Macaca fascicularis: one gene and its partners. Each later gene encodes a partner of the first gene's protein in a complex. Links are inferred from orthologs where the notes say so. Each region holds a gene or a part of one and is shown on either strand. Other genes may lie near its edges. The genes, in order: DHX16, SNRPD2, RBM48, SNRNP40, ARMC7, SNIP1 and RNF113A.

Region 1 (3,500 bases):
TCCTGGATAGAGGGTGGGGAGAGCAGCAGGGATCCCAGAGTCACAGAAGGCCAACATGCCGGCCCCATCTTCCCCTGAGATACACCCTCCCCTCTCCCAACCATGTCAGGCACCTGTCCTGTCAGGAACACCAGGATATCCCCAGGGGGCTGGGTCACGTGGATCTGCAACACAGATACAACACAAGCTTCCAAGTAGTCAGCCTCTGGAGCCTGGAGAGCAGAAAGAGATGCGGTCACAGGAGGGCCACCTGCTTAGGCAAACCTTTCCTCTCCTCCCCGTTCAACATATACTTTATCCTAGTTCCCCTTTGGACCTTCCACTCCATCTTTCCCTCCTTGGGATAACTTTCTCCAAAGGCCTCAGCTTTTCTGCCACAGACTTAAGCCCATCCTCCCTGAGGTAGCACCTTGGTGTAGAAGATGTCCACAGGAAACCTGCGTCCGGGGATTCGAAACACAGGGGCGTCATCAAAGAAGGTGGAGAAACGGGCAGTGTCCAGTGTGGCTGAAGCCACCAGGACCTTGAGCTCAGGTCGGAAGCGAGCAACATCCTTGATCAATCCAAAGAGAATGTCTGTGTGTAGGGTCCGTTCGTGAGCCTCATCCACCATCACCACACTGGGGAGGGAATAGGGCAGCAATGAGGGAGGAGCGCTGGGCAATGCAGTATCAGACACCAGGGTTCCCTGGACGAGAGGGGAGTGATGGACACAAAGAGCTCAAGAATGACTGTTGACGGAGGGGGGGTCTAAGGAGAACTCAGCCATCCCAGTTATGTAAGACCAACAGAAAGTCAGAGGCGGCCAGGGACCCATGATCTGCAACCTATCCCAGCCTCAGCAGACAATAGAAGCCAAGATGTAGAGGCTGCACTGAGGCCAGGACAAGTTAGACATACTCTCTAGTTCAGTCAAGAGTCTGCTTAGACTCAGTAGCTGCTCTTACTAGAAAAAGTTGAAGGATATGCTTTAGGCTGGGCACGGTGGCTCACACCTGTAATCCCAGCACTTTGGGAGGCCAAGGCAGGCAGATCACGAGGTCAGGAGTTTGAGATCAGCCTGGCCAATATGGCGAAACCCTGTCTCTTCTAAAAATACAAAAAAAATTAGCCAGGTGTGGTGGCGCACACCTGTAGTCCCAGCTACTCAGGTGGCTGAGGCAGGAGAATCGCTTGAACCCGGGAGGCAGAGGTTGCAGTGAGCCAAGATTGAGCCACTGCACTCCAGCCTGGGTGACAGAGCGACACTCTATGTAAAAAGAGGCCAGGTGCGGTGGTTCACGCCTGTAATCCCAGCACTTCGGGAGGCCGAGAAGGGTGGATCATGAGGTCAGGATATTGAGACCATCCTGGCCAACACGGTGAAACCCCGTCTCTACTTAAAAAAAAAAAAAAATTAGCCGGGCGTGGTGGCGGGCGCCTGTAGTTCCAGCTACTCGGGAGGCTGAGGCAGGAGAATGGCATGAACCTGGGAGGCGGAGCTTGCAGTAAGCCGAGATTGCACCAATGCACTCCAGTCTGGGTAACAGAGCCAGACCTGCTAAGAAGGATTCTTCTTTTGCAGAGAGGAGCAAGTTAAGCCTTTCTACCCCAACTCTCAGAGGACTCTGCATGCTCCCTGGTTTCTCCTAACTCAGTTATGTGCATGACACCTTCTTTCTCTTTGCTTTATTTTTTGGCTTTTCTGGATGGCAGCCAAGTCTCAGGAACTCATCCTCATCTTCCCCTACCCACCTCTCTGACCTCAACTCTTTGTCCCTAACCCTAACTGTGATGGTGAAGCCCCCAGTCATTCCACAAAGCAGGCTGGCTCGATGGGCAAAAATATCTGCATCAGGCCCTCTTGCACTGGCTGGCTCTCCATGGGTTCTCAGAGATTTTTTGCAAGGGATATGAAGGATAAAATCCTATCTGTCCAATCACTCCACTGTGATCTTCCAGGGCCAGAAATTCACAGCCTCTGAAGAGTCAAAAAAGGGCACATATTGTTCAGCTGGCCTGACCCCAACCCCAGCACATTCATGAATCCCTTTTCCCCCTCAACACATGTTCAACCAACCTCTGCTTGGCCATTTCCAGCACTAAGAGCTCATTATTCACAGACCAAGCTACCCAAGACTTGTGTGGAGGGCCAAGATCCAGAGTCCAACCACTCTGACAGGCCCTGCAATCTCCAACACTCTGAGGGTTATTTAGCCATCGGTATTGAGTTGGAATCTGTCTCCCTGTAACCTCCCCATGGCTCCTAGCTGTATCCTGTAGGGTTACATAAACCAAGTCTCATCCTTCTTTCCATGTCACAGCCTTCACATATTTAGAGGGAACCAGGATGCCTCTCCTGCTTCTCCCTCTGAGCTGAGCATTCCAGGTGTTTTCAAATGGTCTCCACATGGCATTTCAAGCCTCCGCAGCAATGCTATGCTATCCTGGTTGTTTCCTAACCCTGGAGATGAATGGGGAAAGAAGAAGAGGCTTTCTCTACAATCTCTTCTATCCTCCAGCCCCATCTCCGTGGTACCTGGAGGTCAGTTCAAGGACCGTTTGAACCATAACGATATAAGAACTGGTGGATTAATCAGAAGACAATGGCTGAATTGGCTGGGTGGCAAGAAATGAGAGAAAAGCCAGAGATTAGAGATCCAGGAGAGAACTGAGTGGGAGGGAGGCGGCAGCACAGGGGGAAGAGAATGTGGGCAGCTCTCTCATGGGAGATGAGGGCCCTGTATGTACCTGTAACTCGCAAGGTCAGGCTCAGAGAGGAACTCCCGGAGAAGCATCCCATCTGTCATGTAGCGGAGGACAGTTCGCTCTGATGTGCAGTCCTCAAAGCGGATACTGTAGCCAACCTGGTCAAGGGAAACCATTAGCAACCAAGTGTTGGATGGTGTGCCCTGAAAGGAACTTGGGGAAAGGTGAAGTGGGGCAGCACCAAGACTTCTGCCGTAGGGACCTGAGGGCAGTGTAGACTGAGTCACAGACCCCAGTCTCTACCCCCCAGTTCCCTAGAAATCTCACCTCATTCCCAAGCTTCACACCCATCTCCCGGGCCACTCGGGCGGCTACACTCATGGCGGCCACTCTCCGGGGTTGGGTGCAGGCAATCTTCATACCCTTCTTTGTATAACCCTGAATGACAAGGAAGAAAGAAGAGGTTTACCCTTTGCTAAATATGCCCCCTGGGACCAGGTACAATTCAGAGAAAGAAGTTGTAAAAGCCAGACAGGAGAAAAGGAGGAAAAGACAGATGCTGAATACCAGAAAAGAAGGGCAAATAGATAGGATGACAGACCTAGGGCCCTCAAAGGGGGTCCTCACCTAGCTCTGGGTAATTAAGTTCATGGCTCTGCTAGACTTGAGCTGGAAAAGAACAGATTAGCTGAGGCAGAGTCAGCTAAGGTAAAAAGCAGGAAGGCTGGGCACAGTGGCTCATGCCTATAATCCTAGTACTTTGGGAGGCTGAGGTGGGAGGATTGCTTGAGCTCTGGAGTTCGAGACCAGCC
Region 2 (4,288 bases), on another chromosome or scaffold:
GGCTTCCGATCAACGGGACCTTGGGAAGGAGGTGGGATAGGGAAGGGAAGAATGAGAGCAACCCACCATTTCATCCCTACCCCGGGCGCCGTCACCCACAAGCAGCCCCGGGTCCTCTTTCTAATTTGCGGCCTCCAGCATCGGAGACTTCTAGGATAAATCCAAGGCTCAGAAAAAGTCCTTCCAAGACCATCCGGTCCAGCCTACCTCAAACTTGATGGGGAAATCGAGGCCCAGTGAGAGAGAGGGGAGATGGAGGAAGGGACTCTTCCAAATAGTTGACTAAAGGCGTAGAACCCTGAACCCCCTCGTCTTACTATTTCAGACCTTTCCTCATAAAAGGAAGCTACTGTTGTAAAACCAGCCCGAAGCCTTATTCCTTTGGTAAGGGTCATGCGCTCAGATGACGAAGACTGTGGCATCTGCGGTTAGGGCCGTACGCTAAAGCCAAGTCAACCCTGGGTAACAGCGGGGAGGGAATGAGGGTCCCCGCGGTGCCCGGGTCCCCGCCCAGCCTCACCCGCAGCTCCCGGCCCAGCGGCAGCTCCTCAGTCCTGCGGTGCCAGCCGCTCCAAATGGTGTAGAACGCCGAGCCCACGGCCAGCGCCAGCAACAGGGGCAAGAGCCGAACCCGCGGTAGCAGGCGGCGCTTCGGGGGCAAGAGTGGCTCCATAACGCCACGTTCCCCTAGCCGCAGGCGGGGCCGCCCGCGGCCCCCGGAACGCATGGCAGCTATGCCCTGAAACCTGTACCAGACCACGATTGAGTTTAGGCCCAGCCAAGTTCCACCCCATGGAATCAGTGGGCCAATAAGCAACAGCAGCGGCTGCACCTGCCCACCCCACAGCGAGCAGCGAAACCAATAAGAGCTACGGTCCTGAGGACACGCCTCCCGGCCTCCCTTGGGTATTGGGGTTGGTTCTTCTGAGAATGGCACGACCCAAAAGGGAGCGCAAAAGAGATAGGCTCCGCCTTAGCGGAGGGGGAAAGCCAATGAGCAGCGTTTGATCGTGGAAAATATTCAATCTCTCGGGCGCAGGTCCATGCCCCTCCCGGATGTAGGCAGGGGATTGGTGGCGCAGGGTCGGAAAGATCAGTAGATACGTCAATAACCCGTCCCAGAGGGAAGAGGGGCGGTGCCTGTCTCCGAAGCGAGGAGCGGATTGGCTTCAGCGGAGGCCGCGCCCCCGAAGTCACGGCCGGCGGGCATTTGGAAATAGTTTGTCATTTCCCTCCTTAAACCTGTACCATTCTTAAACGAAACGGTTTGAATCAGACCGCCTTTCCTTTTGTCTTCATTGTCATAAACATCTGCCCCGTGTGGTTCTGACTGGCCTCGAACCCCTATCCGAGGCTTTTATTCTTTCATTGTGCACCGTTGGTGGGCAATGCTATGGCAACAGGCCACGCCTCCACTTACTGGTTGGCTTTGCGCAGGCGCCAACGGAAGTGGGTCGCAGGAAGAGGAAGTCCCGCCTCTCTCGCCTCAGGCTGCAGCAACGCGGAGGAAACGGGAGTGAACGGAGAGCTTAGTGACCATCATGTGAGGCCGGGCTAGGCTTAGGCGGCGGGAAGGAGGTTGAGGGTGGAAATTTTGACCGATTGAGGGTGGGAAGGGTTGAGCAGAGAGCGGGGTGGGGGACAGGGGCAGATGTTTTAGGGATGGAGCGTCCTGCGTTTCTCCTGATGAGTTTGAGAACGGGCGTGGGGCCTTTGACGCATCGTGACTTCGGGAGAGGGGACAGCTTTATCAGATAACGCGCTGGGCTGGGCGCGGGGACTCATGCCTGTGATCCCAGCATTTTAGTAGGCCAAGGCGGGAGCATCGCTAGAACACAGGAGTTTCGAGACTACTCTAGGCAACATAGCGAGACCCCCGTCTCTACAAAAAAAATTTTTTTTAATTATGAAAAACATATTTTAAACGATAACGGAGGGGGGTCCTAGATAATTAGTCCTATTGAAGTGAATGTTAAGGGGCAGCGATTTTACGAATACTGGGGGAGGCCGGGCGCGGTGGCTCAGGTTTGTAAATCCCAGCACTTTGGGAGGCCGAGGCGGGCAGATCACCTGAGGTCAGGAGTTTGAGACCAGCCTGGCCATTGTGGTGAAACCCCGTGTCTACCAAAAATACAAAAATTAGCCAGACGTAGTGTCGGGCCCCTGTAATTCCAGCTACTTGGAAGGCTGAGGCCGGAGAATCGCTTGAACCCGGTAGACGGAGGTTGCAGTGAGCCGAGATTGCACCACTGCACACTTCCAGCCTGAGCGAAGAGTAAGACTCCATCTCAAAACGAAACAAAAGAAATCAAAACGAATACTGGGGAAGGGAAGTTAGGACTTTTAGAAATAATGATTTGAAATAAGGGACTTCTCCTGATCATTTGAGCTGGAGACAGATGCGTTTTCGACCTAATTCACAACTTAAAGGGATAACGAGTGATTGGCATGATTTTGCTCATTTATTAGTGCACCAAATATTACATTGAATGTTTATGTATCAGACACTGCTTAAGCCACATAGGATACATCAGTGAATGAAACCTTTTGTTCCCAAGGAAAAAAAAAATCTTTTTTTTTTTTTTTTTTTCCCGAGACATAGCCTTGCTCTGTTGCTCAGGCTGGAGTGCAATGGTGCGATCTCAGCTCACTGCAACCTCTGCCTCCCGAGTTGAAGCAATTCTCCTGCCTCAGCCTCCCGAGTTGCTAGGATTACAGGCACCAACCACCATGCCCAGCTGACTTTTATATTTTTAGTAGAGACCAGATTTCGCCATGTTGGCCAACCTGGTCTCAAACTCCTGACCTCGAATGATCCACCTGCCTCGACCTTCCAAAGTGCTGGCATTACAGGCGTGAGCCACCGTGCCTGGCCGGGCGTGAGCCACCATGCCTGGCCGGGGTTTTACTTTCTACACTGAGATGGCGGGGGGGCATGGGAGGATTTTCTTTTGTTTGTTTGAGATGGAATCTCGCTCTGTCACCCAGATTGGAGTGTAGTAGCACGATCTCTGTCTCCTGGGTTCAAGTGATCTTCTTGCCTCAGCCTCCCAAGTAGCTAGGATTACAAGCATGCGCCACCATGCCCAGCTACTTTTTTTTTTGGGGTGGGGGATGGAGTCTTACTCTGTAACCCAAGCTGGAGTGCAGTGGTGTAATCTTGGCTCACTGCAACCTTCGCTGCTGGGGCTCCAGCGATTCTCCTGCGTCATCCTCCTAAGTAGCTGGGACTAGAGGCATGCGCCATCACACCTCGTTAATTTTTTTGTATTTTTAGTAGAGACAGGGTTTCACCATGTTGCCCTGGGTGGTCTGGAACTCCTGAGCTCAGGCGATCCACCCCCCTTGGCCTCCCAAAGTGCTGGGATTACAGGCGTGAGCCATCACACGCAGCCTAATTTTTGTATTTTCTAATTTGTATTTATTTATTTTTTGAGACAGAGTCTCGCTCTGTCGCCCAGGCTGGAGTGCAGTGGCATGATCTCGCTTCACTGCACTCTCCGACTCCTGAGCTCAAGCGATTCTTCTGCCAGAACCTACCAAGTAGCTGAGATTACAGGCGTGCACCACCACGCCTGGCTAATTTTTTGTTGTTGTTTTTGTTTTGTTTGTATTTTTAGTAGAGATGGGTTTTCACCGTGTTGGCCAGGCTGGTCTCGAACTCCTGATGTCAAGTGATCCACCCGCCTTGTGAATCATCACCAGCTGGATGCCTAACAGACATTTTCTTTTCTTTTCTTTTCTTTTTTTTTTTTTTTTTTTTTGAGACGGAGTCTTGCTCTGTTGCCAGGGTGGAGTGCAGTGGCGCGATCTCAGCTCACCGCAACCTCTGCACCACAAAAGTGCTAGGATTACAGGCATGAGCTACCGTACCCAGCCCCTGGGAGGGCTTTGAAGAGTGACATGTTATGATTTAGGTTTTAGCACAGCCCCCTCAGACCACTCTGTGGAGAACAGACTGTCAGGGAACATGGGTGGAGGCAGAGAGACCGGAAAGATTCCAGGTCAGAGATGACAGAGGCTGAGGCCATGGTAAGAAATGGCCACTTCCTACAGATTTATTGTAGGATGCAAGGGAAAAAGAGGAATCAAGTTGACAAAGAGTTTTTGCCCAGAGAACTAGAAGGCAGATGGGGAACACTGTGGATAGGGTAGGCTTCGGTGGTTGGGTGATCTGGACCCCGACCTGAGACATGCAGAGTTGAAAATGTCTGGCTGAGCGCGGTGGCTCACACCTGTAATCTCAGCACTTCGGGAGGTCGAGGCGGGTGGATCACGAGGTCAGGAA
Region 3 (3,500 bases), on another chromosome or scaffold:
AAAGAGGTAAGGTTATTTTTAAAAACTGTTCTAAGAGACGATTTGGTTATAGGACTAAATGGGGAATTATTTGTGGGAACAATAGTATTGTAATTTTTTTCACTTTTTAGTTTTTTGATGTGTTTTTCTATAGTTCTCTGTTGAAATAACTGAATTTGGCTAACATTTTATTTGCTTTGAACTGTTAATACTTGCTTTAAACAATGAACAGACATTTTATATCACTGTAGATACAAAATATTAAAGCAGTGGTTTCAGCTAATTACATCAATCTGTGAGAGTGGTGCCCAGGCCTGCCATTTTTGTTAAAAGCTCCCCAAGTAGTTCTAATATGAGCCAAAGTTGAGAAGGAAAATTCCATTTCTCTCAGATTTAGAGTTATTACAGTTTATATCAAAGTAAAATGCTTAATTTGCTTTTGTGATAAAGAGCAATAGAAGGTGAGATTTCTAAAAATTGGGCCTCTAGGTATGCATTTCAAATGTAGACTTTATTTTATTTTATTTGTTTATTTATTTATTTATTTTTTGGAGACAGAGTCTCACTCTGTCGCTCAGGATCTACGGTCACTGCAAGCTCTGCCTCCTGGGTTCACACCATTCTCCTGCCTCAGCCTCCCAAGTAGCTGGGACTACAGGTGCCCGCCGCCATGCCAGGGCAAGTGTTTTGTATTTTTTAGTAGAGACGAGGTTTCACCATATTAGCCAGGATGGTCTCGATCTCCTGATCTCGTGATCCACCCGCTTCAGCCTCCCAAAGTGCTGGGATTACAGGGATTACAGGCATAAGCCACCACGCCCGGCCTCAAATGTAGACTTCTTAAATGATCAGGATCAGATTGTGCTGCCTAGGTAGTCTTTTTTTTTTATGTCATTTATATAATCATTTTCCATTTCCTAAGCACAAATAAAGTTAACATCTGAGTTAGCTTTCGAAAGACACCTTTTTGTGGGATGGGGTAGGGGCTACTATTACAAATCATAAACTGAGGGTTATGACATTCTCTTATACTTACTCCAAGATGCAGAAAGTGCTTTTCACATGGTTTTACTCGTATTTTACAATGTGATTAAGGGAGGCTCAGGTAGCTTAATTTCTTATATGTACATTTTTTACCTGAAAACATCTGATTAAAGAGGCATTATTTATTAATAATTAAAATCCATGGGCACAGTTTTGAAGCCGCCTTTAGTTTTTCAGTTTAGGCTGGGGACAGTGGCTCACACCAATAATCTCAGCACTTTGGGAGGCTGAGGTGGGAGGCTGAGGTGAGCAGACTGCTTGAGCCCAGGAGTCTGAGAGCAGCCTGACCAATGTGATGAAACCCCATCTTTACCATAAATATACAAAAATTAGCCAGGCGTGGTGGTGCACTCTTGTAGCTACTTGGGAGGCTAAGGTGGAAGGATCACTTGAATCTGGGAGGCGGAGGTTGCAGTGAGCCAAGATCATGCCACTGCACTCCAGCCTGGGTGACAGTGTGAGACCCTGTCTCAAAAAAAAAAAAAAAAAAAGGTTTTCAGTTTGTGCTTCCACCCTTCCTTCCTTCCTTCAGTTGCAGCTGAACTGAGGCATAGACATAGATACGCAGCTGTCTCAGCCAGAGCTGATTACATTTTAAAGAAAAACGTGTGAAGTCCAAATTCTAGGTCCAGAAATAGTAGAACAACAAAAAAAAAATGTTAAATACAGTTTACTATAGTTTCTAATAATTTTCCATTTCAAATGAAGACTCTTTGCTTTGGCTTATTGTACACTCTCTCTGATAGTGTGTTTGCCTTTCCTTTTTCTCCTAGGAAATTGAGGATTATACTGCTTCCTGCTCATTTCTCCAAATGTTTTCATCCCCCCAAATCTATCAAACATTATCAGTGTTTCAAGAATGCAAAACCAGGATATCTATCTGAATCTGTAATATAACAAGTGACTTTAGATCTATAAAGGAATGTTAAAGTGGAGCATATGTTCACTTTTCTTCCTCCAAATTTTTTTTCTTTTTAAGTAGCTTTAGAAATTTTACTCTCATCAGTGTTTGAACAGAAAACTTCACTCTGTGCCTAGGTCATAGGCTGGACCTTGAACTTAAGCCAACTCTGCCTCAAAAGCCGCATCAAGGATTGAACTATTGGATGTAGTCTTACCTCTTCTAATAGCTTTACTCCTGTGCTATAGAAACTAAATTTTAATGGTTCTTTTTTTTTAATTAGGTAATTTCATCTGTGCCAAAGCATCCAGAGGACAAGCCGGAAGATGTACATACAAGTCATCCATTAAAACAAAGAAGAAGAATATAGAGTGCCAGCAGCAAATTAGTACTTCCTGAAAAGAACATTTATTATTTATTTTTAGCCTGTCATTTTAATTCTTCTAGAGATTTTACTGCTGGTATTTTTTAATGCACTCCTCTTTGTAATTTCATTCAAGCTATTTATCTAAAGTCATTTCTTTCTTTCTTTTTTTTTTTGGGAGATGGAGTCTTGCTCTTTTGCCCAGGCTGGAATGCAATGGCATGATCTCAGCTCGCCGCAACCTCCACCTCCCGGGTCCAAGCAATTCTCCTGCCTCAGCCTCCTGAGTAGCTGGGATTACAGGCGTACACCACCATTCCTGGCCAAGTTTTGTGCTTTTTTAGTAGAAATGGGGTTTCACCATATTGGTCAGGCTGGTCTCGAACTCCTGACCTCGTGATCCTCCCACCTCGGCCTCCCAAAGTGCTGGGATTACAGGCATGAGCCACCATGCCTGGCCCATTTCTTTTTTTTTCGACCCATACTTAATGTTGCAGAAACTATTCTTGTCATAACATTACCTCTCATGTACAGTAATTATATGTAAATTAATTGAAGCAAATATGGAAACTACAATAACGATAGGCAACCAGCATCTGTTTCTGATTATAATACAAGTATTGAATGAGCCATTGAAACACTAGAAGTCAGGGTGTTTCCGAATGCCAGGATTTCAAAATCAAGACAGTCTGTGAGGTAAAAAGTAGATTAACTATTAGAACAAAGCTGAAATTAGAATCTTATATGCTTTCATTAACTTTTAAGAAGAATTTGCTTGACCTGTGGCAATCCAAAAATAAATCAGTATTTATAAATTTTAGACTTCTGTTACTGCTTCTGGCATATCCACACTTTTTTCTGTCAGTGGGTCACATAATTGGAAATTTCAGTACATCTAGGCTGTCTCCATTTTCTTTTTCTTTTTAGTAGAGACAGGGTCTCATTGTGTTGCCCAGGCAGGTATTGAACTCCTGGGCTCAAGTGATCCACTCACCTTGGCCTCCCAAAGTACTAGGATTACAGGTGTGACCCACTACACCTGGCCATTTTCTTTACCGGTAAAAATAACTTGAGAAGGTCCATACCATGGCATGTTGTTTTCATTTCTCCCTATCTTTAATGGCCTCTTGCCTAGTAGATTGAATTTGAACATACCAGTTAATAAGGTTCTGTTTCAGCTATGATTTACTTGTAGCAGGACAAGCCGCAGAC
Region 4 (3,500 bases), on another chromosome or scaffold:
CCGCACCTGGCCAAAAGCAAGGATATTTCATCCAAAGTAACAGCAAAGGAAACAACGAGGGATGGAAATACAGTACAACTTCTAGGAAAGGACAACACAGAAAGTTGAGTATTTATCTGACAGTTACTATTCTCACTATAAAGCAGAAGGTAAGGTCAAAGTCGTTAAGATCCCCAAGGAAGCCAATAGGAAAGGAAGACAGAAGCCGTGCAGGACCAAAATAACACATTTCCTGGCACTTGTTATGTCCAGGAATTCTGCTAAGTGCTCTAATCAGGCTCATTTAATCGCTACAATGGTATGTGGTAGATGCCATGTGGTAGTTTTTGTTATCACTACCCCCTCAGCATTCACACAAGAAAAAGAGGCTTAAAGAAGGTGTTGAAGTCACAAAACTAGAAAATGGTGAAACTGGGATTAGAACTCAAGTCAATTACTTGAAAGTTTGAGCTACACTGTACTGCCATATGGTCTATTGCCTCTTTAATATCATTACCTTCTCTCATTCTTAGAGAAACTTAGAAAACTCCCTTTCCATAGTGTCAAAAAGAAAAACACAGTGAGAGATGAGGATACAGAATCACAAACTGATTCACTGCTCCCATTAAACTAAGATGGTTAAAAAAAGATTCTGAATGTCTTTAAAAGGAAATGCACTCTTTATTTTTTACATAGTCCCCCTACAGAGACTTCACACTTCACATTAAGTGCCTGGTCCCTGACAGCATTTATAAGATCTGCAGTGCAACCTTTAATTTAGGAAGTCAATGAAGACAGGAGAAAAAGAAAATAAGTTCCAAATTACTATTTTCCTTTCAGTTGGTATTAAGTGCAAAGCTACCACAATTTCAGAAGTTTGAAAAAATTTGTTTCTAAGTGCAGATGGGTGAAATGGAAATATATCATAAACATCAAACATACCTTGATATCATTGTCTATTCCACCAGAAATAATCTGATCACTTGTGTCATTGAAGGTCACAGCTAACACCTGGTACGTGTTCTGAAATGTCTGGATGGCTGCTTTCTTCCGGATGTCCCAAAGCTGAAGCAAAGGACAACAGGGTCTATCATTAATATCATTCTAAGAAGTAACTGCACAGTACAAATATCCCTAAGTACAAGGACTTTGTGAACATGAACACATCTATAATTGGGATCCCATTTCACTAACTCCTGGATATCCTAATAACACACATGGTAAGCAGTGTCCTCAATTTTGCTAAGACATTTGAAGGCTGGTGAAACAAAACTTCAGTTATATTTTCAGACTTCTTTGTTAAAGTGAATAAACAGAGTTAAATCAACATACTCTTAGAATGGAATTCCACTAATTACTTGGTTCATATATTTTTTAGGACAACAAGGATATCAGACAATTTTTTCAAACTGTAGATACTAATTCATTAGTGGGCTGCAACCCACATTTAAAAAAATAGAGAGCGGGTACGTCAGTGAAAATAGTATAATAAACAATGACAAAAGCTTGTCCTTCCACAAAACAACAAATGAACCAGCAAAAACCTGTCAGAATCAACTGTCGGAACTCTCATAACTAATCAAAAGTTTATAGTAACCAGGCAAACCCTTAATGAGGAAAAAGGAAACAAAAAAACCCCTGAGTCCCAGTAAAAGGGTTTTGTAGTGTTTTAACTTGTGCTGGCTCTGTCTCCCGCTCAGCAACAGCTTTGAAGATAACCCATATTCCCAGTATGGTTTCCTAGTACTGAGGAAGCAAAGGGGGGCCTATTTCTTATTGTCAAAGAATAAACAATAAAAATTGTTTATTTTTACTTGTCTGGTGGCTCCCTGAAGGATAAGCTCAAAGGACTTACATTTATTTATTTATTTATTTATTTTTTTGAGACGGAGTCTTTGCTCTGTCGCCCAGGCTGGAGTGCAGTGGCGCCAACTCGGCTCACTACAAGCTCCGCCTCCTGGGTTTACGCCATTCTCCTGCCTCAGCCTCCCGAGTAGCTGGGACTACAGGCACCCGCCACCTCGCCCGGCTGGTTTTTTGTACTTTTAGTAGAGACGGGGTTTCACCGTGTTAGCCAAGATGGTCTCGATCTCCAGACCTCGTGATCCGCCTGTCTCGGCCTCCCAAAGTGCTGGGATTACAGGCGTGAGCCACCGCGCCCGGCCAGGACTTACATTTATTTTGTCTAACTTGGAACTTTCCTTGAAAACATTTAGGCCGGGCGCGGTGGCTCAAGCCTGTAATCCCAGCACTTTGGGAGGCCGAGACGGGCGGATCACGAGGTCAGGAGATCGAGACCATCCTGACTAACACGGTGAAACCCCATCTCTACTAAAAAATACAAAAAAAAAAAAAAAAAAAAAAAACTAGCCGGGCGAGGTGGCGGGCGCCTGTAGTCCCAGCTACTCGGGAGGCTGAGGCAGGAGAATGGCGGGAACCCGGGAGGCGGAGCTTGCAGTGAGCTGAGATCCGGCCACAGCACTCCAGCCTGGGTGACAGAGCAAGACTCCGTCTCAAAAAAAAAAAAAAAAAAAAAAAAAAAAAAAGAAAACATTTAAAGGAAAGGATATTATTAGCCTCTGGTGCCTGGGGGCAAGGAAAAACAGTTGGGGCAAAAATACAAACCAAAAACCTTGGGAGGAAGGGCTGGGGAAGGAGACAATTTGGGGAGTAAGAGTTTTGAAAAGCACTGACATATTCCTGGCTATCTATCTTATCTATCTATCTTATCTTATCTATCTATCTATCTATCTATCTATCTATCTATCTATCTATCTATCTACCTACCTACCTACCTACCTACCTACCTACCTACCTACCTACCTATCTATCTATCTATCTACCTACCTACCTACCTACCTACAGAGTCTCCCTCTGTCACCCAGGCCGGAGTGCAGTGGTGCGATCTCGGCTCACTGCAACCTCCACCTCACAGGCTCAAGCAATTCTCCTGTCTCAGCCTCCCGAGTAGGTGGGATTATAGGCGCGTGCCACTATACCCAGCTAATTTTTGTATTTTTAGTAGAGACAGGGTTTCGCCATGTTGACCAGGCTGGTCTCACACTCCTGGCCTCAAGTGATCTGTCTGCCTCGCCCTCCCAAAGTGCTAAGATTACAGGCATGAGCCACCATGCCTGGCCCATCCCTGGCAATCTAGACCACTTGCATGTCCAGGGCTGGGCACATACTTAGAAAAGATCTGAGAAGGCCATAAGCTCTCTGGTTGACCTTCAGGCTCTGCACAAGCAGGAAGTGAAAGCTAAGGAGAGATGTAAACTGCACAGCAAGGAGTTGAAGGCAGGCTCCAACATACCAAAAGACAATCTGCAAAGACTGGGAGAGCTTTTGTTCTTGTTGTTGTAGGTAATTTAGGAAACTTCTGTCATTCACTAGCTGACCACTAAGCTAACAAAAAAAAAGAATTCAGTGGTAACACAGGACAAAGAATACAAACTTTACAAAATTAGTTCAAAAATTCACTAAACAGGCCAGGTGTGACAGCTCACACCTGTAATCCCAGC
Region 5 (4,167 bases), on another chromosome or scaffold:
TGTTATGAAATGAGGGTCTGTTTAGGGTTACAAGCGATTTATCTCTTGGGGCCAGGAGTTCAAGACCAGTCTGGGCAAGACGGTGAGACCGTGTGTCGACAACAAATTAAAAAAAAAAAAAAAAAAAAAAAAAGCCGAGTTCGAGACCAGTCTGGGCAACACAGTGAGATCCTCTCGAAAACAAATTAAAAACAAAAAAAAGCCGGGCATGGTGGTGTCCACCTGTAGTCACAGCTACTCGGGAGGCTAAGGCAGGAAGACTGCTAGAGCCCAGAAGTTTAAATTTATGGTGAACTATGATCACACCACTGTACTCCAGCCTAAGTGACACAGTGAGACCCTATCTCAAAAAAAAGAAAAAGATTTAAGATAATTTATGTAGTGACTTCCTTCCAATGGGTATAATACATAATACGTAAAGAGGGGAAAGAAAGAGTAATTTTACAGTGGAGAAGCCTGACAAGACTTCAGCCAGGTGATCACACGCGTGTTGCCCAGGCTGGAGTGCGGTGGCTATTTACAGGTGCAATCATGCAATCGTAGCACACTACAGCCTCAAACTCCTGGGCTCAAGCGATCCTCCTATCTGGGGCTACAGATGAGCACTGTGCATGGCTTGAAACAGGGATTTTTGTTTGTTCTCAAAATTTTGTCTGCTTCAAACTATTTCCCACGGCCTAGATCTAAGCTCCGGCAAGCTCTGGTGCCGCTTAACTCTCTATCCTCTTTTTGTGCCATTCTCCACTTCACTATAACGATCCTGCCACATTCATCTTCCTTCTGGCTCCTTCCTGTTTTAAGGCCTTTGCCCATGCTGTGTCCCTGCTAAAATGCCTTTCTCATGATGGCCAAAACGGAAGTAACCACCACCTTCTACTGCTGTTTCTCATCACCCCATTTATTTGCTGCTGAGCATCATCTTTTTTGTTTGCTAACCACCTGTCCCCCCTACTAGAATGTAAGCTCCTGAGGGACAAACACTTTCCCTAACCTGTTCACCATACTCCAGCATTTAGAGCAGTAGTTTACATATACGGTACATGCCCAGTAAATATCTGCCCAGTGAATAAATCAATAGGTCTTAAGATCATAACTACAAAAGAAGCCGTAAGTTACAGACTGCAAGCCATCTCTGCTTCTCCTGATATGAAAACACTAAATATGAGTTACTTTTGTTTCTAAGACAGATTCTCATTCTGTCACCCAGGCTGGAGTACAGTGGCCCAATCCCAGCTCACTGCAGCCTCGTCCTCCCAGGCTCAAGCAATCCTCCCACCTCAGCCTCCTGAGTAGCTGGGACACCACGCCAGACTAATTTTTTTTTTTTTTTTTTTTAGCAGAGATGGGCTTTTGCCAGGCCGGTCTTGAACTCCAGGACTCAAGTGATCTGCCTGCTTCGGCCGCCCAAAGTGCTGACATTACAGGTGTGAGCCACCTCACCCACCTGAAATTGTTGTTGTTTTTTTTTTTGAGACGGAGTCTCGCTGTTGCCCAGGCTGGGGTGCAGTGGCGCCACCTCGGCTCACAGCAACCTCTGCCTACCGGGTTCAAGTGATTCTCCTGCCTCAGCCTCCCGAGTAGCTGGGATTACAGGCGCCCGCCACGCCCGGCTAATTTTTGTATTTTTAGTTAGAGACGGGGTTTCATCATGTTGGCCAGACTGGTCTCGAACTCCTGATCTCAGGTGATCCGCCTGCCTCGGGCTCCCAAAGTGCTGGGATTACAGGCGTGTGCCACCGCGCCTGGCTACAAAACTGCTCTTTTTAAAACATCTTTTTTTGAGACATGGTCTCACTCCGTCGCCCAGGCTGGAGTGCAGTGGCGCAGTCTCAGCTCACTTTGGCCTCTGCCTCCCGGACTCAAGCAATCCTCCTGCTTCGGCCTCCAGAGTAGCTGGGCCTACAGGTGCACACCACTGTGTGCGGCTAATTTTTGCTCCCGCTTAGCTGGGATTACAGGCACTCGCCACCATGCCCAGCTAATTTTTGTACTTTTAGTAGAGACGAGGTTTTGCCATGTTGGCCAGGCTGGTCTCGAACTCCTGACCTCAGGTGATCCCCCCGCCTCGGCTTCCCAAAGTGCTGGGATTACATGTGTGAGCCACCACGCCAGGCCCCAAGGACTCACTTGTAACTCACTTATCTCACCCCGGCCCATTTAGCCATCTAGCGAACGGGCCCAGCCCTTACCAATAGCAAACTCAACCAGGGTCTCGTTCTCCTCCGACAGCGAATCGAGAAATAAATCCAGGACCTGCAGCTGCCGTAGATACTCGTAGTTGCTGGGGTCATAAGCGAAGTTGGCGAGGTTGGCGAGGACTTGCTCCTTGGCGTCTGCAACGGGAAAGCGGCACTGGAGCCAGGTCCGGGCGGCGGTCACAGCCGACCCTGTCACCTGGTCCCACCGTGGCTCTCACCTTGGCTCTGGGTCTCCTGGAATTCCGTGACCAGCGCCTGCAGGTATCCCAAACGCCCGACGTGGGGGTCCAACTTCGGCTTCTGGGCCATGGCCGGCGTGACGGAGGACCCCCAGGGACGGGCGGGCGGGTGGCAAAGGTGCAGGGGGAAAGCCGAGCGAGACCCTCACCCACTCTCCACCTGTCTGGCGAGGGAAGACGCGGGGACGGCAAATGGGTTTCTTTCTTGGGTTCAGACTCTGCAGTAATTTGCAGCTGGAAATGGAATGTGGGGAGATGGGCCGGGGTCTCAGAATCCTGTAGGAGTTGGGTCTGAAAATCGAAATTGGGGCGCGGGAGACAGGGAACCGTCTGCGGGTTGGGGCTGGCGGAGTGGGTACTGGCGCCCAGCCCCCGGCTGCCGGGCTCGGTTCCAGGCTCCCGGCGGAAGCCGCGCTGTCCCCACCCTACAAGGCGCGGAAGGGGCGGGACGAGGCAGGCGAGGGGCGGGGCCGTCGCCGAACTCCTTGGCGCGCGTGCGCGGCGCGCTTTCGGTTTTCTGGCTGCGGAAGCTCTTTAGCCTGCGCTGGAACCCGCTGCGACACGCTTCGCCGAGGGAGGTATGGGCGTGGGTGGGTGTACTGCGAGGAGCAGCCTTGTCTCCCATATCCTATGTCCAGCTGCAAATTATTGCAAAATCTGAACGCAAGAAAGAAACCCACTTGCCGCCCCCGCCAACAGGAAGGCGGGTGAGGGCCTCTCTCGGCTTTCCCGCCCCACCTTTCCCACTCTCCCGCCCGGCCCCCCGGGTCCTCCGCCGCCCCGACGTGGCCCAGAAGCCGAAAGTGAGGCACCCATGTCGGGCGGCTGGAATGACGTGAGGAGCAACTCAGGAGCGCAACGGAGTCTGGCAGCACCCATGTTGGGAGGACGTCGAGGCAGAAGCACCTCCAGGATCCCCATGGCTGGCGGGGCGCGGCCCAGCCTCCTTGACCAGGACGCCCCTTTAGAGCGCGGGCGTCAGCTCCTTACCCACCCCCATCAGTCTTTTGACCCTTTTGCAAAAAGCGTAGCGACCCCGACCCGTCCTCTATCCCAGCCCCGAGGTGAGTCCGCCACCTCTGGACAGAAATCAAAGGGGACGGGGTCATGTCCTGGTGCTTTTTGTCAGCCGGGTGGATGGCGCGCGCCCGGGGCAGCACCGGGGAGCCCGAGGAAGAGCCTTGTTTGTGGCGCTTTCGGGGCTTTCTGGATGCTGAAGCCCTTCGGCCGATTCCTTCTCGAGGATTCTCGGGAAGCAGGTGTGTGATGGATTACTACTCGTGGTTACAGGGAACAAAGCACCAGGGAAGGAGGTGGCCTTACTACACTCCCATCGCGTTTGACAACGTAGGGGTAGAGAGGTGGCTTAGGCTGTGAGTGTCCTGAGAATGCAAAAGTTGTTAATCTAATTGGAGTCACTTGTGTTAAAAAAAAAACAGAACAAAAAAACCCGGACAGAGTCGGAGAAAACCATGACAAGAGGGTTCTCATGCATAAATATCTGATAATGAAAACTATCACAAAGATTCTGCAAAAACCCCAACCTTGCACAAAACATACTTTTGAATGGCCATCTGCCCAGCAACTTTCCTGTCCAACGTTGAACTGGTCACCCTTGTTACTAATTCTTCTACCTAAGGATAATTATCTCAAAACAATTATGTAATCCTATTTTTTCCCTTAAAGCCTTTCTTTCTTTACCTCCCTGAATACCCATATAGTTTACTATG
Region 6 (3,500 bases), on another chromosome or scaffold:
TTTACTGACTGCAGTACATTCCCACCCCCAAAAGACTAAGTGCAAAATCAACTTCTAAGCTCAAGAGCTCAACCAGGTCAAAGCTTTGGTATATACTGGAGGTTGTTTTGGTGATAACCAAAGCCTAGTAAGATTCTCTGCTCAGGGGTTCACCCCAAAAGAAAAACACCTGGTCCACAAAGCTTAATACCTATATAAATAAAGTTAACTGTACAAAGAGAACAAGCCATGATTTACCCTTAACCAAGGGTTTATAGTTTCCTAGGCAGCAGTTCTGAAAGCACCAACTAAAACCACAACGCTTCTACTAAAACACGGTGTGTTGTAATTGGTGAGACTGTTCCGAAAACAAATGCCTGCAGGCATGTGGCCAAGGTGCCACAGAAAAAGTTTAACAAACATTAGTCAGTGTATTCAAATGGTAACACAATCTGGTCAGCAACAGGGGAAAGACTTAAGGCAGTAAGAGGCATTACAGAGAGCATGATAGTGTTGGACCCACCACCATAGTGCTCTCTGAGTCAATCAAAGCCTTCCAACAAGGAAAACGTGTCTCAATAGTTTGGGTTCTTAGTTTGTTAGCTGTCAGACACTTCCTCCTCCTCCTCCTCATCCTCATCATCTTTCCTGTCTATTTCCGAAGTGTCCGACGACTCATGGAGCAAGACATATTCTCTGCTACTGAATCCAAATTTGAGTACATCCTTTTCTTTTAGTTCATAGTATCTCTGTGGCTCAATACGTTTGTTGTTTAAGAAGGTTCCATTGCCTGAGCCAAGGTCAATGATGTAGGGCTTCACTCTTCGGCCAACCGTGCCATCAGCACGGGTATATTCCACAAGCCTAGCAGAGAAAAAGGAGAAACCTATGAGCAAACTTCTGCCTCAGATCATCCATCCTCTCTGAAGCTCTTTGCTAAGACAGCCTAGATGATGTAAATAACCTGACTTGAGCATAATTCAAGTTAAAATTCTAGGGAATCAAAGAAATCAAGGGGAAAGCATGGCCCTGGGAAGGGAAATTGGAAGTTTAAATATATTTAGTAGAAAAGGTGAGAATGGGTTACTGGAGGGTGGGGAGAATCCATGGAAGATCAAAAGGTGGAAATGCAGAATCCAAAGTCTCTTGCTGTGGTTAAGAAAATACATTTTTTTCTGTTGTTTATAATCAATGTTTCTTTAACCTATATTTCAATATATTTCAGTTCCTGTCCAAATGGGAAAAAACAGTGGACCTGGACTTCAGAGTCAAGGGAGCTATATTTGAGCCAGAGTTCTACTATGGCAGGAGTCCCCAGCTCCTGGACCATGGACTGGTACTAGTCCGTGGCCTGTTAGGAACCAGGCCGCACAGCAAGAGGTGAGCAGTGGGCAGACAGGCAAGCAAGCCAAACTTCATCTGTATTTTCAGCTGCTCCCCATCACTCGTATTATTATTGCCTGAGCTCCGCCTCCTGTCAGATCAGCGGTGCCATTAGTCTCATAGGAGCGTGAACCCTATTGTGAACTGTGCACAAGTGGGATCTAGGTTGCGTGCTCCTTAGGAGAATCTAATGCCTGATCTGTCGCTGTCTCCCATCACCCCCAGATGAGACCATCGAGTTGCAGGAAAACAAGCTCAGGGCTTCCACTGATTCTAGATTATGGTGAGTTGTATAATTATTACATTATATATTACAATGAGATAATATTAGAAAATAGGCCGGGCGCGGTGGCTCACGCCTGTAATCCCAGCACTTTGGGAGGCCGAGGCGGGCGGATCACAAGGTCAGGAGATCGAGACCACGGTGAAACCCCGTCTCTACTAAAAATACAAAAAATTAGCCGGGCGCGGTTGTGGGCGCCTGTAGTCCCAGCTACTCGGGAGGCTGAGGCAGGAGAATGGCGTGAACCCGGGAGGCGGAGCTTGCAGTGAGCCGAGATCGCGCCACTGCACTCCAGCCTGGGCGACAGAGCGAGACTCCGTCTCAAAAAAAAAAAAAAAAAAAAAAAAAAAAAAAAAAAAAAAAGAAAATAAAGTGCACAATAAATGTAATGCACTTGAATCCTGAAACCATGTCCCTGGTTCCATGGAAAAACTGTCTTCCATGAAACCGGTCCTTGGTGCCAAAAAGGCTGGGGACCACTGTACTATAGTGATCATTTGTTAGGCAAGTCACTTGGTTTTGCTGGGCTTCAGTTTTCTCATCTGTCAAATGGGGATATAAATACTTGTCCATTCAAAGTCAGGAGACCATGTTAAAACAAAACAAAACAACAACCAACAACAACAACAAAAAATGGGCCAGGCGCAGTGGCTCACACCTATAATCTCAGCAATTTGGAAGGCCGAGGCGGGTGGATCACGAGGTCAGGAGTTCGACACCAGACTGACCAATACAATGAAACCCTGTCTCTACTAAAAATACAAAAATTCCCTGGGTGTGGCAGCGTGCGCCTGTATTCCCAGCTGCTCGGTAGCCTGAGGCAGGCGAATCGCTTGAACGCGGGAGGCAGAGGTTGCAGTGAGCTGAGATCGCGCCACTGCACTCCAGCCTGGGCACAGAAGGAGACTCCGTCTCACAAAAACAAAAAACCAAAAACCGGTCCTATCCTTCTCACAGGATTGTTGTGAGAATCATCACAGATGTCCCACGCAAGCTATCAAGAACCAGTTTCAAAATTAGTAGAGCACAGAGGCACATGCCTATGGTCCCAGTTACTCAGGAGGCCAAGGTGGGAGACAATCATTTGAGCCCAAGAGGTTGCTGGAGTGAGCTGTCTTTGCTCCACTGCACTCTAGACTGGGTGACCGAGTGAGACCTTGTCACAAAAAAACAAAAAATAGATTAAAAGTATAATGTTCTTATAAATATGTAAACAATTATTTAAAGGGAAGTTAGATTAACAATACTCTTTAGATATGAGGGGTATGGGATTCTTCTGTATATGTATGAACAAAAATCTTAGTAATCCTAACTAACTGAGCAATTGTTTCTGCTCACATTAGAGTTTCTTCCTCCATGTTACTTACCGATATTGAAAGACCGCATGCTGCTTTGAACAAGATGGGTGATCGATAGGAATGTCTGCAATGCGGCGGTGTCGACCCAGTAGATACGCACTCTGTCGATGTATGTACATGACTGGAAGCACCTCATCATTTTTAAATGGGTAGAGACGCCACCGTTTTTTTGGAATACGTGCTTCTGGGGGCTCACTATATTTAATGACTACACCCCGGAAAGTGTTGGTGTCCTCAAGAAGTGCCCCAGAAAGTTCATAGCTTGGTTTTTCTTTAGCAGGCACCTCTTTTTCTTTGTTGTTGCCACCAGGCCGAGGAACCAACTCCTGAGACTCACTACCGCCACCACCAATGTCATTCCTCTGGCGATGCTCCCGTCGCCTGGCATTATAAAACTCCCGCTCTTCTTCCTGAGCCTGCAGGTTCTGAGTGTCTCGCTCCCGTCCCTGACCCTGCCCACTCCCAGGTCTCTCGTTAGACGTTCTCCTTTGGTGGGA
Region 7 (2,887 bases), on another chromosome or scaffold:
GAGCTGAGATCGCGCCATTGCACTCCAGCCTGGACAACAGAGCGAGACTCCGTCTCATAAATAAATAAATAAATAAATAACCCAGACAGCAAGGAACATTTCCCATATGTGAAGCCTGTGGTACTAGCTACCAATTCCCCAAACGCAACCCCTCTCCCCAACACCTTGGCTCCGGTATATTTTGTAGTACAGGCTCCCAAGAGAAAGAATGCATGAAAGTACTTTGTAAACTATTAAGTGATACAGAAATGTGATATGATAAACAGGCTCAGAGTTCTTACTTTCGTCATAGCTTTGGCTACTTCAAGCAAATTATAGCTCTTTTCTCAAACTACTCCCACCCCTATAATTGATGCCAAAGTGTTCTGAAAAGAAACACAGGCAAAATGGTTATCCTAGGGCTAAAAATCCTGATTATACCTACCTTGAGGTTTTTAATCCAGGACCCTACTTCACCACCCGCCTTCTCTGTCACTGTCTCTACAAAGGAAGGACACGAATTAAGACTTCCAAAAGAACAAAATATTTATTATTTAAATTTAAGAATTATCAGACAGCTAAGTAACGGGAATTGGATCCTCATCGGGGTCTTCTGGCAAGTCGGAAGCACCACCACCCTCTCCTGTAGCTCGATGCTTCTCTAGTTTAGCAATCAATTCTTTCGCTGGATTGAAGACGCCATTGGTCTGCTGGTCACAGACATAACAGCGCGGGGTGGTGCGGAAATGCTGCAGTGCACAGCTCTCGCAGAAATAATGCCTGCACTTGGTGACAACTGGGTTTTGGAAGCTCTGGCGACAGATGAAACACTTGAATGGTATTTCCTCATCATCGCTTCCCACTTCATAGTTTTCATCCTCATAGACACCATAGCGACCCTCATCAAGCTCACGTTCGATCTGCCACCCATGCTTGTAATCTGAACGGTCATGGAGGAATTTGCAGCTGTCTCCGAAGCCGCAGAAGCCAGTCTCTTTGTAGTCCTTACAGATGTCGGGCTGGTAATCCCAGCGCACGGTGGCACGTAGATGCTCGGGCGCTCGGATGGGGCCCTTCCTCACCATCCCGGAAGAGGCATTGCCCATAGACGTATCCTTGGGCTTCATGTATTTCTGATAATTGTTGATTCCCCGATAGATCTTGTCATCCTCCTTGCCCCTCAGCTCCTCCTGGATCTTCTGGCTGCGCTCAAAGATGGCTTGTGCATCGCGCTCTTTCTCTGTGTCCAGCTCATAGACAGCTGTCGCCCCCATATCCTCTGGTCCCACGGGTTTCGCCGAGCGGGTGGATTTATAAACCACGCCGAGACTCTCGGGCTCATTTTCCTCCTCCTCCTCGCTGCTCAAGTCGCCGTAAGCTGCCTTCTGTTTACCACTGTCACGAGTCTTCTGTATCATTGGATTGTGAGTCGCCCGCTTCTTTTCCGGTCGAACCACAGTGCAGCCTTCGTCGCTACTGCTGCCGCTGTCTCCGGGCTCTGGGTCGCAGGCCGGGCGCTTTCTGCGTCCAGCAGCCCCTTTCCGCCCAGGCTTTTTGAAAAGGAAGGTGCACACCTGATCCGCCGTCTTCCCTGGAGAAAACTGCTCTGCCATTTTAGAGTCCCGAGCTCCGAAACGGCCGTCGCTGCCTGGGTTGCACTTGGCCTCTGCGCGTTACTCCACGTCGCGCGCTCCGCCGGGAGTCGAAGCAAAAGACACTGACGGAAGAGAACTGCGAGAGCGCGAGCGCCAGCCTCTCTTGAGCCCTGGCAGATCCCGTCGCTTCCTCCGGAGCCGTACGTGGCACCGCCCCGCTCGCGGGCGGCCGCGGGGCTTACTGGGAAGGGAGCCGAAGCCCGGTCACCTTTCAAGGACCCAGAAGTAGGGTTTTGGCCTAGATAACGGGGCAGAGATGTGGTTCGAGATTCTCCCCGGACTCGCCGCCATGGGCGTGTGCTTGCTTATTCCAGGACTGGCTACTGCGTACATCCAGAGGTTCACTAACGGGGGCAAGGTAAGGCGGCTTCCTGGGCCCGGGGGCTGACTCCACTGGCTGATTTCTGAAAAGGATGGTGGGCAGAGAGGCCGTCAGCCTGCGGACCCTCTCTCCGAGGCCGGCCCTCTACTTTCTTCCGGTTGCCTAGAAGCCGAGGCTTGCGAAACGAAGCGCGGTAGAAACCACATCCTGCTCTGGTGAAAAACAGCGTTTCTGGGTGTATCAAAGTGGGCCTTAGGGCAGAGTAGCGACGCGGGGGCCGGAAAGGTAGATTAGAAGAGGTGGCTCAAGCCTGAGAATCCCTCACTGCAACCTCCGCCTTCCGGGTTCAAGAGATTCTCCTGGCTGAGCGCGGTGGCTCACGCCTGTAATCCCAGCACTTTGGGAGACCGAGGCGGGCGGATCACCTGAGGTCGGGAGTTCGATACCAGCCTGACCAACATGGGGAAACCCCATCTCTACTAAAAATACAAAATTAGTGGGGCGTGGTGGCGCATGCCTGTAATCCCAGCTACTCGGGAGGCTGAGGCAGGAGAATCGCTTGAACCCAGGAGGCGGAGGTTGCAGTGAGCCGAGATCGCGACACTGCACTCCAGCCTGGGCAACAAGGGCGAAACTCCGTCTCAAAAAAAAAAAAAAAAATTTTTCCTGCCTCACCCTCCTGAGTAGCCGGGACCACGCCCGGCTATTTATTTATTTATTTTGGTAGAGACGGGGGTTTCATCATGTTGGCGAGGCTGGTCTCGAACTTCTGACCTCAGGTGATCCACCCGCCTTGACCTCCCAAAGTGCTGGGATTACAGGCGTGAGCCGCCGCTCCCGGCCACCCTTGACTTTTTTATTCCCCACTTTCTCTTGCAAGCGTTTAGGAATTTACTGCAAGGTCTTGTGTTTTACATCAGGATTCATTTTC

The links.
Region 2: DHX16 (region 1) and SNRPD2 share a complex: the UniProt entries of both Homo sapiens proteins name them as parts of the minor spliceosome. The link is inferred for Macaca fascicularis from reciprocal best matches to the Homo sapiens genes DHX16 and SNRPD2.
Region 3: DHX16 (region 1) and RBM48 share a complex: the UniProt entries of both Homo sapiens proteins name them as parts of the minor spliceosome. The link is inferred for Macaca fascicularis from reciprocal best matches to the Homo sapiens genes DHX16 and RBM48.
Region 4: DHX16 (region 1) and SNRNP40 share a complex: the UniProt entries of both Homo sapiens proteins name them as parts of the minor spliceosome. The link is inferred for Macaca fascicularis from reciprocal best matches to the Homo sapiens genes DHX16 and SNRNP40.
Region 5: DHX16 (region 1) and ARMC7 share a complex: the UniProt entries of both Homo sapiens proteins name them as parts of the minor spliceosome. The link is inferred for Macaca fascicularis from reciprocal best matches to the Homo sapiens genes DHX16 and ARMC7.
Region 6: DHX16 (region 1) and SNIP1 share a complex: the UniProt entries of both Homo sapiens proteins name them as parts of the minor spliceosome. The link is inferred for Macaca fascicularis from reciprocal best matches to the Homo sapiens genes DHX16 and SNIP1.
Region 7: DHX16 (region 1) and RNF113A share a complex: the UniProt entries of both Homo sapiens proteins name them as parts of the minor spliceosome. The link is inferred for Macaca fascicularis from reciprocal best matches to the Homo sapiens genes DHX16 and RNF113A.

The regions. Positions count from the first base shown.
Region 1 is NC_088378.1:141,993,824-141,997,323, reverse strand, and holds part of DHX16 (pre-mRNA-splicing factor ATP-dependent RNA helicase DHX16), read right to left. Parts: intron 3,127-3,500; coding exon 3,016-3,126; intron 2,847-3,015; coding exon 2,731-2,846; intron 621-2,730; coding exon 410-620; intron 213-409; coding exon 114-212; intron 3-113; coding exon 1-2. UniProt on the Homo sapiens protein: Required for pre-mRNA splicing as a component of the spliceosome. Contributes to pre-mRNA splicing after spliceosome formation and prior to the first transesterification reaction.
Region 2 is NC_088393.1:53,756,366-53,760,653, reverse strand, and holds the start of SNRPD2 (small nuclear ribonucleoprotein Sm D2), read left to right. Parts: upstream 1-1,488; 5' UTR 1,489-1,541; coding exon 1,542-1,543; exon of another isoform or gene 1,544-2,275; intron 2,276-4,288. Other genes in the region: QPCTL (glutaminyl-peptide cyclotransferase-like protein), read right to left, coding at 1-19, 521-727. UniProt on the Homo sapiens protein: Plays a role in pre-mRNA splicing as a core component of the spliceosomal U1, U2, U4 and U5 small nuclear ribonucleoproteins (snRNPs), the building blocks of the spliceosome.
Region 3 is NC_088377.1:128,829,428-128,832,927, reverse strand, and holds the end of RBM48 (RNA-binding protein 48), read left to right. Parts: coding exon 1-6; intron 7-1,796; coding exon 1,797-1,907; 3' UTR 1,908-2,207; coding exon of another isoform or gene 2,208-2,294; 3' UTR 2,295-3,103; downstream 3,104-3,500. UniProt on the Homo sapiens protein: As a component of the minor spliceosome, involved in the splicing of U12-type introns in pre-mRNAs.
Region 4 is NC_088375.1:203,728,177-203,731,676, reverse strand, and holds part of SNRNP40 (U5 small nuclear ribonucleoprotein 40 kDa protein), read right to left. Parts: intron 1,045-3,500; coding exon 922-1,044; intron 1-921. UniProt on the Homo sapiens protein: Required for pre-mRNA splicing as component of the activated spliceosome. Component of the U5 small nuclear ribonucleoprotein (snRNP) complex and the U4/U6-U5 tri-snRNP complex, building blocks of the spliceosome.
Region 5 is NC_088390.1:81,488,731-81,492,897, reverse strand, and holds the start of ARMC7 (armadillo repeat-containing protein 7), read right to left. Parts: upstream 2,801-4,167; 5' UTR 2,508-2,800; coding exon 2,417-2,507; intron 2,334-2,416; coding exon 2,190-2,333; intron 1-2,189. UniProt on the Homo sapiens protein: As a component of the minor spliceosome, involved in the splicing of U12-type introns in pre-mRNAs.
Region 6 is NC_088375.1:197,387,272-197,390,771, reverse strand, and holds part of SNIP1 (smad nuclear-interacting protein 1), read right to left. Parts: coding exon 3,013-3,500; intron 844-3,012; coding exon 579-843; 3' UTR 1-578. UniProt on the Homo sapiens protein: Required for pre-mRNA splicing as component of the spliceosome. As a component of the minor spliceosome, involved in the splicing of U12-type introns in pre-mRNAs. Down-regulates NF-kappa-B signaling by competing with RELA for CREBBP/EP300 binding.
Region 7 is NC_088395.1:126,232,984-126,235,870, forward strand, and holds RNF113A (E3 ubiquitin-protein ligase RNF113A), read right to left. Parts: upstream 1,699-2,887; 5' UTR 1,593-1,698; coding exon 558-1,592; 3' UTR 501-557; downstream 1-500. Other genes in the region: NDUFA1 (NADH dehydrogenase [ubiquinone] 1 alpha subcomplex subunit 1), read left to right, coding at 1,891-1,992. UniProt on the Homo sapiens protein: Required for pre-mRNA splicing as component of the spliceosome. As a component of the minor spliceosome, involved in the splicing of U12-type introns in pre-mRNAs. E3 ubiquitin-protein ligase that catalyzes the transfer of ubiquitin onto target proteins.